Linked DNA regions of Caenorhabditis elegans. The protein of the gene in region 2 purifies or fractionates together with the protein of the main gene of each other region. This does not show direct contact. Each region holds a gene or a part of one and is shown on either strand. Other genes may lie near its edges.

The links. The genes of interacting proteins can lie anywhere in the genome.
Region 1: the proteins of C49A9.6 (region 2) and E02H4.2 fractionate together in Caenorhabditis elegans (co-fractionation; one large-scale study listed by BioGRID). This does not show direct contact.

The regions. Positions count from the first base shown.
Region 1 is NC_003284.9:14,276,621-14,283,606, forward strand, and holds E02H4.2 (MIF4G domain-containing protein), read right to left. Parts: upstream 5,007-6,986; 5' UTR 4,980-5,006; coding exon 4,863-4,979; intron 4,434-4,862; coding exon 4,272-4,433; intron 4,218-4,271; coding exon 4,155-4,217; intron 4,112-4,154; coding exon 4,016-4,111; intron 3,923-4,015; coding exon 3,806-3,922; intron 3,010-3,805; coding exon 2,926-3,009; intron 2,883-2,925; coding exon 2,666-2,882; intron 2,612-2,665; coding exon 1,843-2,611; intron 1,795-1,842; coding exon 1,705-1,794; intron 1,601-1,704; coding exon 1,544-1,600; intron 1,497-1,543; coding exon 1,416-1,496; intron 778-1,415; coding exon 744-777; 3' UTR 502-743; downstream 1-501. Other genes in the region: Degenerin del-1, read left to right, coding at 90-214, 266-420.
Region 2 is NC_003282.8:6,209,135-6,213,715, reverse strand, and holds C49A9.6 (MATH (Meprin-associated Traf homology) domain containing), read right to left. Parts: upstream 2,781-4,581; 5' UTR 2,717-2,780; coding exon 2,468-2,716; intron 2,289-2,467; coding exon 2,164-2,288; intron 2,118-2,163; coding exon 1,776-2,117; intron 1,731-1,775; coding exon 1,484-1,730; intron 940-1,483; coding exon 820-939; 3' UTR 535-819; downstream 1-534. Other genes in the region: ugt-24 (UDP-glucuronosyltransferase), read left to right, coding at 4,263-4,415, 4,463-4,581.

The sequences.
Region 1 (6,986 bases), on a different chromosome or scaffold from region 2:
CATGTAACTTGAAAAATGGTTTTGTTTCTAAAATACATTTATTCTCAAATAAATTAGTTGACAGTTAATGACAAAAAATCGATTTTCAGAGAACACGCCGCAATGATTGAAATTTATTATGAACAAATGAGCTATGAGATATTGAGAGAATCTGAGTCGTATTCTTGGTTCAACTTGATGGCCGATATGGGTGGCCAAGCTGGCTTGTTTTTAGGTGATTTTAAACAATTTGAGTAACTCGCAATTCAAAAAGTGAATTTTTCAGGCGCAAGCATTATGAGCGTGATTGAGTTTTTATTCTTCGCTGTCCGAACTCTTGGAATTGCATGTAAGCCAAGAAGATGGAGGCAGAAAACGGAATTATTACGAGCTGAAGAATTGAATGATGCGGAAAAAGGAGTATCCACAAATAATAATTGATTTTTGATCTCTGTGGAATTCAAATGTGAATAAACAGGTTTTTTTCAAACAGTCTACTCGGGCTCATAAAAAATCCACAAGAAGATACATTTTATTTTGATCAACTTTGACCGTAAAAAGTTGATATTCAAGAGAAAACATGGAAAGGTTGCTGTTGAATACACATAATGTTGAAGAGAAGATTTGTGTGGCCGGATTTCGAACTGGGATTCCAAATTTTGCTAAACGAAAATTATACAAACAAAGTAATTGAAGAATACAGGAAAATGAGAATGAGCTAAAAAACACAAAAACAGATAGAATGAAACGCACAGCTCCGTTGCTTAGTTTAGTTGAAAGTTTGTCAAGTGGAGAACTCTGTAAAATTTATTTTCAGTCCCGTTATCCACTTTCACGTCAAATCAGTAGTGCCATGAATCCTTCCGACCAACGTCATAAAGATTGATGATGTACCAACTATGCTAGTTAGTAGTTATTACACCAACATAGTTGATACATTCAATTTCTACGTTACAACATCTTGACAGGTTTTCCCTCGAGAATGGCCTGTGAGCCTGTAGAGAGAAGTGAACCTGTAGAGTACACAGACAACATAACTGCCCAGGAAAAAAAGGAAAAAACTATCAAGATGTTTTCGCCACATTTGAATGATTAATTATTAAAAAACCACGAATTCATGAGAATGCCTATTTTCTGAAAAAAAAAAGCGGCAACGAGATATCATTCAAAAATGTAAGATTTAGGTGCCTTCGCTACGAGATATTCGCGCGCCAGAACGGTATGCATTCTCATGATCAGGTGGTTTTTTAATAAGTGTTAATGATTCAGTAACAAATGAGTGAATAAGTAAAATATTTTTTTTAGTTCCTATTCAGTATCAGGGCCGGGGTTTACTCCGAAACAGCTATGCCTATGTTATTCTTGTAACATCGTTTTCAGGACTAAAAGTCTGGTTTGTATGCAAGTTTACCATTCTTCACATTAGTTCAACTCACTCTTTCTTGTCAACTTTCTTATTGTATTTTGATTTCTTGCCAATGCCCGAACAGCAGCCGTAACCGGGGTTTTTGAGAGTTCTAAAACATGATGTGCATTATAAAAAATACTTCCGTTGTCAACTTACGAAGCTTTGTGTGGGCTTTGTGAAGAATCTGCGCACGAGACTATAATGATTGAAGGTCTGAAATTTTAATGACAATGGCGGTTGAACTCAGAACTTAAATTGAATTTCATGAATGTCAAAAATAATAATTTGTTTTCAATTAATATTTATTGTAAACTCACGGAGTATATTGTTCCAATTTTTCCCATGGATTGTTTTTGTTGAATTGCATTTTTTGATCAATCTCAATGGGGACAGAAGGGTTGGAACTACTGGAGTATCATAATATTCGTAAGAAATTTCATTTTAAAAAAACTTACCCGCTTGAACTTTCAAAGGAACTTTCAGTTTCTGGATGTTCCTCATTTTCTATTGCAGCATGATCTAGAGACTGTCCAATATTTTCTTGCATGACATTCAAATGTATTTCTTGATGAAAGTCATTGATGTCACGGAGTAGATTTCTCTCGGCGAGGATTCGGATCGTTTCCTGCACAATTGTACTGATTGGTGCCTCCAATTGTGAAACTTTGCCGCTGACAACTCCAGTTTCTGTCGAAGGTGGCAATGGGTGATTCAGTGATACATCTATTGATTTGTTATTTGTTTCATCGTGAAGATTAGTAACGCTAAGAAGAATTGGTTCATCGTTGTTCGAAAAGTTTTCAGCAGTAGCGGTATCATGTTCAGCAAGTATTGTATTTTCAACTTCAGTAACTGATTTTGCAGCAGAAACTATAACGTCGGGCTCTGAGCGTTTAGAAGATTGTTCCGGTACAGTACAAAAAATATTGAATTCAGCAGGCCCTGTCTCATTCGGGCTCTCATTCTCGGCGACATCTGCGATCAAGCATTGCGATGATTTCATTTTCTCCGATTGGTTCCTTGTTTGACAATTTGTGAGCGTTGAATTATATTTTCCATAAGCGTCACCTTCATTCTTTTTAGTTTGTGGTTGAATTAAAGATTCTTCGGCATCTTCGTAAGCCGAGTTGAACGAGTCAGTAGATTGTATTGAGAGGGAGGGAGCAAGTACCATAGGAATTTCAACAACATTCGAAAGTTGTTGAGCGTTGCATCCATCAATATCTGAACGAGAGATGAATTTAAAAACAGAAAAAAATTGTATCGGACTCTTGTTACCTTTTGTTTTCAGAACACAAACTGTTTCATTTCCATGAGATATGACAATTTTAAGCTCAGTCTTGTTAGGAGACAGCGGTAATTCGGAAACGACACCTGATGAGGAGGATGAAGATGATGCATTATTGTTTGGCAAATGCTGTCTGGATACTTGATTTGAACGGTTTTGGTTATGGCCATGTTGGTTTTTCCTGTCGTTTCTCCGGAAATTGCTAGTCTAAATAACTCAATTCAAAAATGAAATAAATCAATATTGATACCTTGGAGTTACGGTTGTTTCCTCGGCAATTATGTTTTCTGTATTGAGAAGTAATGTCCGGTGGGAATAAAAACGGAGTCAAATGCTGTAAAGATGATTAAGATTTTCATGAAATTTTTTTTTTTGACACTAGTTAAAATTTAAATAAAATTATATTTCACTTAGGTAGTTTTGTTACGATCTCAAGGAGAGATGAACAATGAACGTATTGATTATTTTTTTACGGAAAGGGCAAAATTACATTTGAAACAGAGGTGGCGGCAATTGTCGTTTGGCAATCGAATTTTCGCCAATTTCGGCAGTTTTGGCAATTGCCGCAATTGCCGATTGCCGAAAATGTTGAAAACCGGCAATTGTCGGAATTACCGATTGCCGGAAGCCAGAATTGCCGGGAACATAAATTTAATACGTTTTGTAAATTTTTGAGTCTAAACATGCATTTAAAAGAAGATGTTTTCTTTTCAAGCTTAAAATGTTTAAATCCTGAAAGTTTTGGCCGTTATCTATTAGAAAATGACTAACCAAATACTAACAAGGTGATTTTTTTTTTCATTTTTTGAGTTATAATTATGTTTGAAAATTGCCGAAAATGTCCGGCAATCAGCAATTTCGGCAATTTTCGGAATCCCCGATTGCCGAAATATTTGAAAACCGACAATCGCCAAAATTGCCAAAATATTTGAAAACTGACAATTGCCAAAATTGCCGATTGCAGGAAAATTCCGATTTTTTTTAAGTGAGCATCAGCTTTCGAGTTTTCTGAGTCAACCTTTTATATTTTTCATTCCGACCTATTTTTTTTATTACAATAACTTCCAAAATCACTACTTTTTTACTGAACGTATTCAATTTAATTGTAAAACATTAAACTTCTTTCTTACATCCAAATAATTCAGGTCCTTCAGGTTCGGCGAGCTTTGAGCATTTGGAGTCCTTGGTTGGTACTGATAAGGAGGAGATACACAACACAACTTGTTCATTTGGTATTGATTACATGGCTGAATAAATTTTCCGTCCATGGTCTGATTATGGTAGGTTTAAAAAATGTGGAATGCCACGTAATTGTTCTCAATTGAAATTCTGATTTTTACCTGACTTTGTAAAGCATATTGCTCGGAATTGTAGTATTTTTGATGTGGCAGTTGTGCTGGGTGATTTTGGTTTGCATATTGGTAGCTTGTAAAATTCTGTAACATTTTAATTTCGAAATGTGTCAATAAAAGTCCGAACCTGAACATTCCAATTATTGGGTGGTTGAGATGGGTATGGGGCTGATGAAAATGTAGAATAATCCTGAATTCAAACATGAAACAACATTTAAATTTATAATTATCTGGTTTAAATTACCTGCACCACGGGAGCACCTTGAAAATACACTAAAGGATTTTGAGTTTCCGGAATCCACGAACTTTGGGGATACATCGGTTGCGAGAAAAACGCCGGGTTCGCTGGAGGGAATGTGTAGTATGTAGTCATCTGTGGAGCAAAACGTTCATACTTGGCAGGAAGCTGGAAATCCACTCAAAATATTATAAATTAAAAATTTTTAAATTTTTGGGTGAGGATGAACCAATGATATTCTGTATCTCCATGTGAGCACAGCAAAATACTCTTTCATTTTCATTGCACGCATTTTCATTAAGTCCCTTAATTTTTTTTTTTGCATAACTTGAAAATCGAGCATTAATCAACAAAAGCAACTGGTGTTATTCATGTTTTAGTGTGAGTGGAGATTTTGAAAAAAAAACACCGGCCAGTGCTCGTGCCGGTGCGGTACGAGGAAGAACATCTGTCACAAAATTAAGGACAGTGGTAAACATTCATCCCCACTAAACTGGCAAAAACAAAAAATGCTCGCAAGACCATGTCTCATATTTTTTCCATTTACTTTAAAACAAGCACAGTTTATATCTCTCAAAAGATTGAAAAAAAACATACCCGCGTTTCTGGACTTTTAATCGTTGACTGTGGATCTCCTTTGAATTCTTCATTTAAACCGTATTGTGGGGTCTGAGTTGGGTTCACAAAGCTTATTCTGTTAGAATTGGCTTCCATCGTTTGAGATTTAAATATGATCAATCTGAGATATATTTTTATGGCCCACCAGTGAATAAAAGGATATATGAAAAAAAAATAGAAGAATTGTAACATAGCACATACTTTAGTGACTAAATCTAGGTACACACTGTTAAAAATTTTCAAACATTATATTAGCATTCTATCAGTTTTGCACACTTCTGCATGTGTTCGAGGCTATCTAAATTATTCACAGCTTTTTTCAGACTTTTATAAAATTTCGTGTGATTAAAATTTTGCCAAGACTTGAGTCTCTACGTAAAATGTCAGTTTTGTAAATGAGAACAAGCTTTTGTATCGCATTGTTTCGTCGCTTTTTTTATACTAAAGTTCAAAATTTAGCTCACGCGTTGCCTATAATAAATTGACGCCTTTCCAAAGAATAGCAAAAAATAAAATCGAGAGAACGGAAAGGAGGAGACATCAAGATCCACAACTGAAAAAAAATGAGCATAAGACATTTGACTGTAGAAAAGAGAGCACAGAGAAGCTATGGCGCAGACAGAAAAGAGGCGGAGTTTTGAAAGATCATATGTAAGCGCATACATTTCCGAAAAGAGGGCTAACGAATATTCTTGTTCAACAACAAACCTTAAAAGCATTCATTTGCCATATGGTACAATTTTGAAATAGCTTTATGGCAACAAAGCAAAAGTCAAAAAAAAAGAGATTAAAGATGTATTTGATGAGATAGAACTGTTCAACTTTTTTTCAAGTATTAAGCTAAACGTGCAGCGGATTTATTTTTTTAAATTACTCATTTCAAGCTTCACGGGCTGCCCATAATATAAACTATTATAAAATCAATTTTTGAACAAGTTTACCTGTTATATATATTAGATGTAGATCAAAATCGTGAAACATTCTGAGATGTAATGAAATTTAATTTTTCACGAGAAACCAGATTCTAACATTTTGATACATTCAAAATGTTATCCAAAATCTCCAAGATGACAGGATAATTTATACATCACAAGGATTTGAACTAGAATTTTAGAATTCAGACTTTTGCAAATTTCTAAAATTGCTTCTTTGAAGTTACAAAACAGTTCCGTTTTCCTCAGGTTGCCAGTTTTTCAAAAACAAAAATATTGCAAAATTTACTGCAATTCAAAAAAAAATAGTACGTCGAGTGAAAAACTTTACATTGTTAAAATTACAGTGCATAAGAAAATATGACAGTTTGGTAATATAAACAGGCATGGCACACAATAAATTGTGCGGATAATTCAATTTAAAATTTTTGTAAGAATAGGGGCATTTTAAAACGGAAGTCGGTGATTTTTAACTCAATTAAAAATCTATATAAAGAATTGTAAAACAATTGACGCAAATTCAAAGTGTTGTAACCTTAAAACAATCAGAAGCATAATTAGTTTTGGTAATATGCAGCAAAACTGAACAAGCATACACTCAATTATGCATCATTTGAACTTTAGGATTTTGCAACTAGAAAAGAATAAAGTAAGATGATGTATTTTGAAACAAAAATACAAACTTCTAGCTCGAAGTTTAAAAATACCTTTGATTGAATGTTAGTGTGGAAATTTTTTGAAACAAAGTTAGGCACTTTGATACAAAACTACAAGAGAAAATTGAAGTTTCAATAAAATTTGTTAATTCCATTTTATACATTGAAATGTTATGTCGTCTTGATGGTGACTAGAAGAAAAGCCAACAGAGACATGTCGGAAGTTAATGGTTTTAGGGAAAACAAAACAATGTCAATTTGTGAAAACGTTCCGCGTACATCTTTTGTTGGGAAAAAACTTCACAAAAAAACAAATGCTGTCTATTATGAGAATTTGAATTTTTAAAATTAAAAATCCAGAGGTCTCTTTCTTTCTAATTGTCTAGTAATTGTAAATAGAAAGACGTCAAAACCAGAGAAAGTCAACATGAGTTTTATGTGAGTGATAATATTGGCATTTTGTTGTACTCTCCTTCTCAGTTTGAACATATTCCCACGATACAATAAATGGCTTT
Region 2 (4,581 bases):
CTTGTAGAAACAAATTTTTCACGCTCCACCTTTCTTGCCCAGCCTATCATTTTTGCAATTCAAATGCTGAAATAGCTCTATTAATTTTAATTGTTCTGTGACGCACGTAGAATTTCCGATTTTATGTTGGATTTTAACGATGTAACTGTTTGTTTTAGAGAGTACGGTAGATTAGAGAGGAGATTCACGTCCTTATTGAAAAAAAAACAACCGTGATGGCTCAAATCATATACAAAACAAATGGTGAAGATAAAAAAAATTGCAATAAACATCTTGATTTATTAGAAAGGCTTTTACAGAAGCAAACACGATATATCTATTAATCACGAAGGATGCTCATCTACAATGTGTTACCATATGGTTACGTTTATTTTTTTTTTTAATAAAGTGATTCTAAATACTCGTTCCTTCTCTTATTAAATCATGAAACAATCTTAATTTTCAGGAAACATTATATTACTAGACTGATATTTTGAGCACAAGTTCTGGCCATGAAATGAGTTCTAAAAATTGGGCGTTCACAATTTTCTATTTAAAAAAAAGATTTATTAAACTTCAATGGCTTTAAGTAATGCATTCACACAAAAGATGCAAACAAAACAGTGCAACACAAAATATGTTACCAACTAAAAAATTAATGAAACAATTTGAGCCCTCATTAGTGAGCCAAGTAAGAACATGCTACTTAGAGAGTAAGTGACAATTTTAATGTATGTATTAACAAATTAGTAATAGAATCAGTAACATAATAGTAATATGAATATACGATTGTTAAATTGACTTCAACATGGTTCTTTAAATTTTTCAGCAATGCCCCATTTATAAAACTTGAGTAACCATCCAAACATAATCTTTTTCTCCGATTCCACGACGTTCGATATGTACCATTTTTCCGTTATGATCGGTTGATAACTTTGTATTTTCAGAATCTCCTTCTAACTGAAATAATTGATTTTATTTTCTCAAGTAACACTATTGAAAGATGAAGTAAACTAACATTTTTTTTAATTGAAATTGCTAAAACATTTTGTCAGGAAGGGAGCAACTTTAGTTTAAAATCAGCAAAATGGACTAAATTTTGAATCATTTAAAATGATTAATTTATTTTAGTTCTTCAGGTAAAAAGAAATATTGAATATTAAAAATTCAGTTTTACCGTTTTTCTTTTTCAACAACTATCATTAAAGTTTCTATTGATCGTTTAGAACAAAAATGTCAAGTAAATCGACATCAGAAGTTCGAAAAAATTGGAAGAAATTGATCGAATATGTGCTCGAATATGCTCAAAAATTCAACAAAACTAAAATAGTGAAAGATCTTGTAGTTAATGAAAACTTTAAAGAAAGTCCGAGAATAAGCGCGGCAGTCGCAAAGAGCCCGAAAATAAGTGCGGCATTCTGCACTAATATGTAGAGAATACTTAAAAATTTACTACAGTTTTCTATAAATTTCTCACACCCACTTCTCCTTTTTTAAAACTTACAATTTCTCCAAAATATTTATTAAAAGCGCTGCCGTACTTTCGATTTCCTCTTGCTGGTTGAAAGTTCTCAATTTTCACAGTGAAGAATATTTTTCCCCGTTGATTGATTCCCCCTTCAGCCAATTGCTCGACGGGTTGTCCGTAGTTTTGGCACGTCCATCTGGTTCCATCAGCATTTTTCTTGAAGTTCCCATCAAAAAAGTGACCCTGTTCTAAGTGGTGTTTGTTGGAGACAAACAGACTCTCTCTGAAATTTTAATTCATATTATCAATGATCATATTTTGAACAAACGTTTTGGAGTCCACATTCCATAAATAGTAATGAGTTCCAATTGGTTTTTCAACACTACTCAAAACTACAGCTCTTTGTTTGATAATATCCGGGTTTTGCTTGACGGATTGAAATCCTCTTCCAATAATTTTTCCTCCATTTTCGAAAGCTGTCGAAAACCCCCTACCGACAGTTTGATCTAATTGATGCGGCGATTCTCTTGAAACTGATGAATATCCTGAGTCCATTCGATCAGATTGGTCTGTTCTACTAAGTTCCATTGAATAGGGCTTTATAAGTTCAGCACGAGAAGCTTCGAAATGTAATTTCCGCTCATTGGAAATTTCCAAAGGTGAGGCAAGTCTGGAATATCAGAAATGAAATATAAAATATGTATGGTATCTCATACAAATTGACTCGAATTCTAAAATCTCCCAGAAGCAACGATTCCCGGCAGATTGCATCACCAAAAAGATTATTGTGAAATATCAGTTTTCCAACACTTACTGATAATTTGGCATAGACGTTCAGAATCTGAAAACTATTTTTTTTTGTGTCGGTTTCGTAGTTTCGTAAATTAAAACAAATTTTCAACCACAGTTTCAAATGTAAACATATTTTCTTGACTTTTCCTCAATTCAGGGTTCGATCTACATCAATTTAAGTAAGGTACGCCAATGTGGTTTCACAAAATATTTGTTTAAATAACTCACATATGCCACGTTCCCTTCAGTTTCAACTTCTATGTTTGCAGTATGTTTGGTCTTGCAGAAGTTGTAAAGTCTTCCAGCAGGATCTACATTTACATGAACAAAATCTCCGAGTTGAATTCCGCTGATTCTAAGATCACTCTCACTTTCGAAATGACGAGTTCCTGATTTTGGATCTGCGAGAATCAGGCATGTACCATCTCGTGTAATGTCTCTTCTCGCGGCAAATAAGAACAATTTTCTTCCGGACATTGTTTTAGAATGCTTTATTATTTTTAATCAATCGTTTAAACTTTAATGGTTCGTATTGTGTACCCTGTAAAAGTATATATTAAGTTTTATTAAGTTAAAACGCTGAATAAAACAAAAACAAAGAAAGAAACGTTTGAATCGATAAACCGAAGACAAAATGTTGACCGGCTAGAGTCGCTTGTGATAACTGATAACGTTTGAAAAAGGGGAATAAAAATATGGTTTGTTTGCCTTCATCATGCAAATTTGAATCACCAGTTTTGGCATTTTATTGGACGTTTCGAAACGATTCGCACTTGTTTTCAGGCACAAATTTGAAAGCAGCAAAATTTTCGAAAATATTTTGATTTAACTGATAATAGACAACTATGTAAAGCTGAAAGAAAAAGTTAAGTTCTGCAAATGAGGCAAAACAAAATGACCCGCAGCCACCCCTGTGAATTTGCTGGAAATCTATGAATCAAATATTAAACCGCCCTCTAATAGTCTTGCACTCGACTGTTTGCCAGTTCAGCAATATCTTGTTTAGAGGTTGCGACGTTAATAAATTTACCCATTTTTGGGTAAATTGAACTCGAGTTTTTGATCAAAATCGTTCAATTGATTGATGAAATATTGGAGAAAGATGTATATTTGTTGTTTAAGCGATATCACGTTGAGTTTGCAATCAAAAATTGGTCACTTTTCGAAGTTTTGGAGCATTCGAAAATAAGTCTTGCAGCCTCTAATAGTCTTGCACCCCCTCTGTCAATCTATTTTTCGTCTGTCAATCTATTTTTCGTCTGTCAATATATTTTTCGTCTGTCAATCTATTTTTTCGTCTGTCAATCTATTTTTCGTCTGTCAATCTATTTTTCGTCTGTCAATCTATTTTTCGTCTGTCAATCTATTTTTTCGTCTGTCAATCTATTGGTTGAAGTTTGATATAATGTCAAAAAATTAGGCTCAGGGTTTTTTTACAGTTTCAGGGAACCGATTAAAAAAAACCTTATCCACACTAGGCTTGTTGCAGCGGTTTGATGATTTCAACAATAATTTTACATTCGAAGAAAATTTATTAGTTATAAAAATAACTTTAAAATTTGCCTGTAACTTCACAGATGAGTCTTCGACGCTGCTTTGGACAATCTTTAATTGGGTTTTGATTGCATTTGAAATATTAAAAAAGTTACTAAACAATGGCAAAGGGTTACAAAAAAGTATATTTCATAACAAAAAACAAATCAATTTGTTCATTGATAATATACGATGATTGTTATGTCAAACACAACATCAGGCGCGTTTTTTTTCTCATGTGAATCAGTTTTTTTTCTTTTGTCCCAATTTCAGATTGTAACTCGAAAATTTTTTATTTTTTGCTGGACTTTTTTTTTCACATCAACCAACTTCTTTAACCCTATTTTCCTGTTTTCAAAATGCTCAATGTTTACATTCTAACAATAACAGAAAAAAAAGAATTGCGCAATAGACACACAATGTTACGCAAAAGAGACCAGCAGTCTCTTTTGCAACACACAGTTTTTTGAAAAGTTTTTTTTAGTCTCAGATGAACTTAGTAACTACATTTGTATTTATATTCAAACTTCTAAATGCTGCCCTTCCATATAAAATACTAATTTATTCGAATTTGTACGGTCACAGTCATATTAAAGTACTGAACACGGTTGCTGATACTTTAACAGATGCAGGACATAATGTGGTACGTAATTAAATTAAATACTTTTTAATTTTTTTAAATTTTTCCAGACAATATTCCGCCCAATAATTGAATCTAGTCAACTTGACAAATCTTCCGTGAAAACTAAAAATGTCATTTATATTGAGCCAGATGAGGAAGTTGTTGAAAAAATGAGCAAAATTGATCA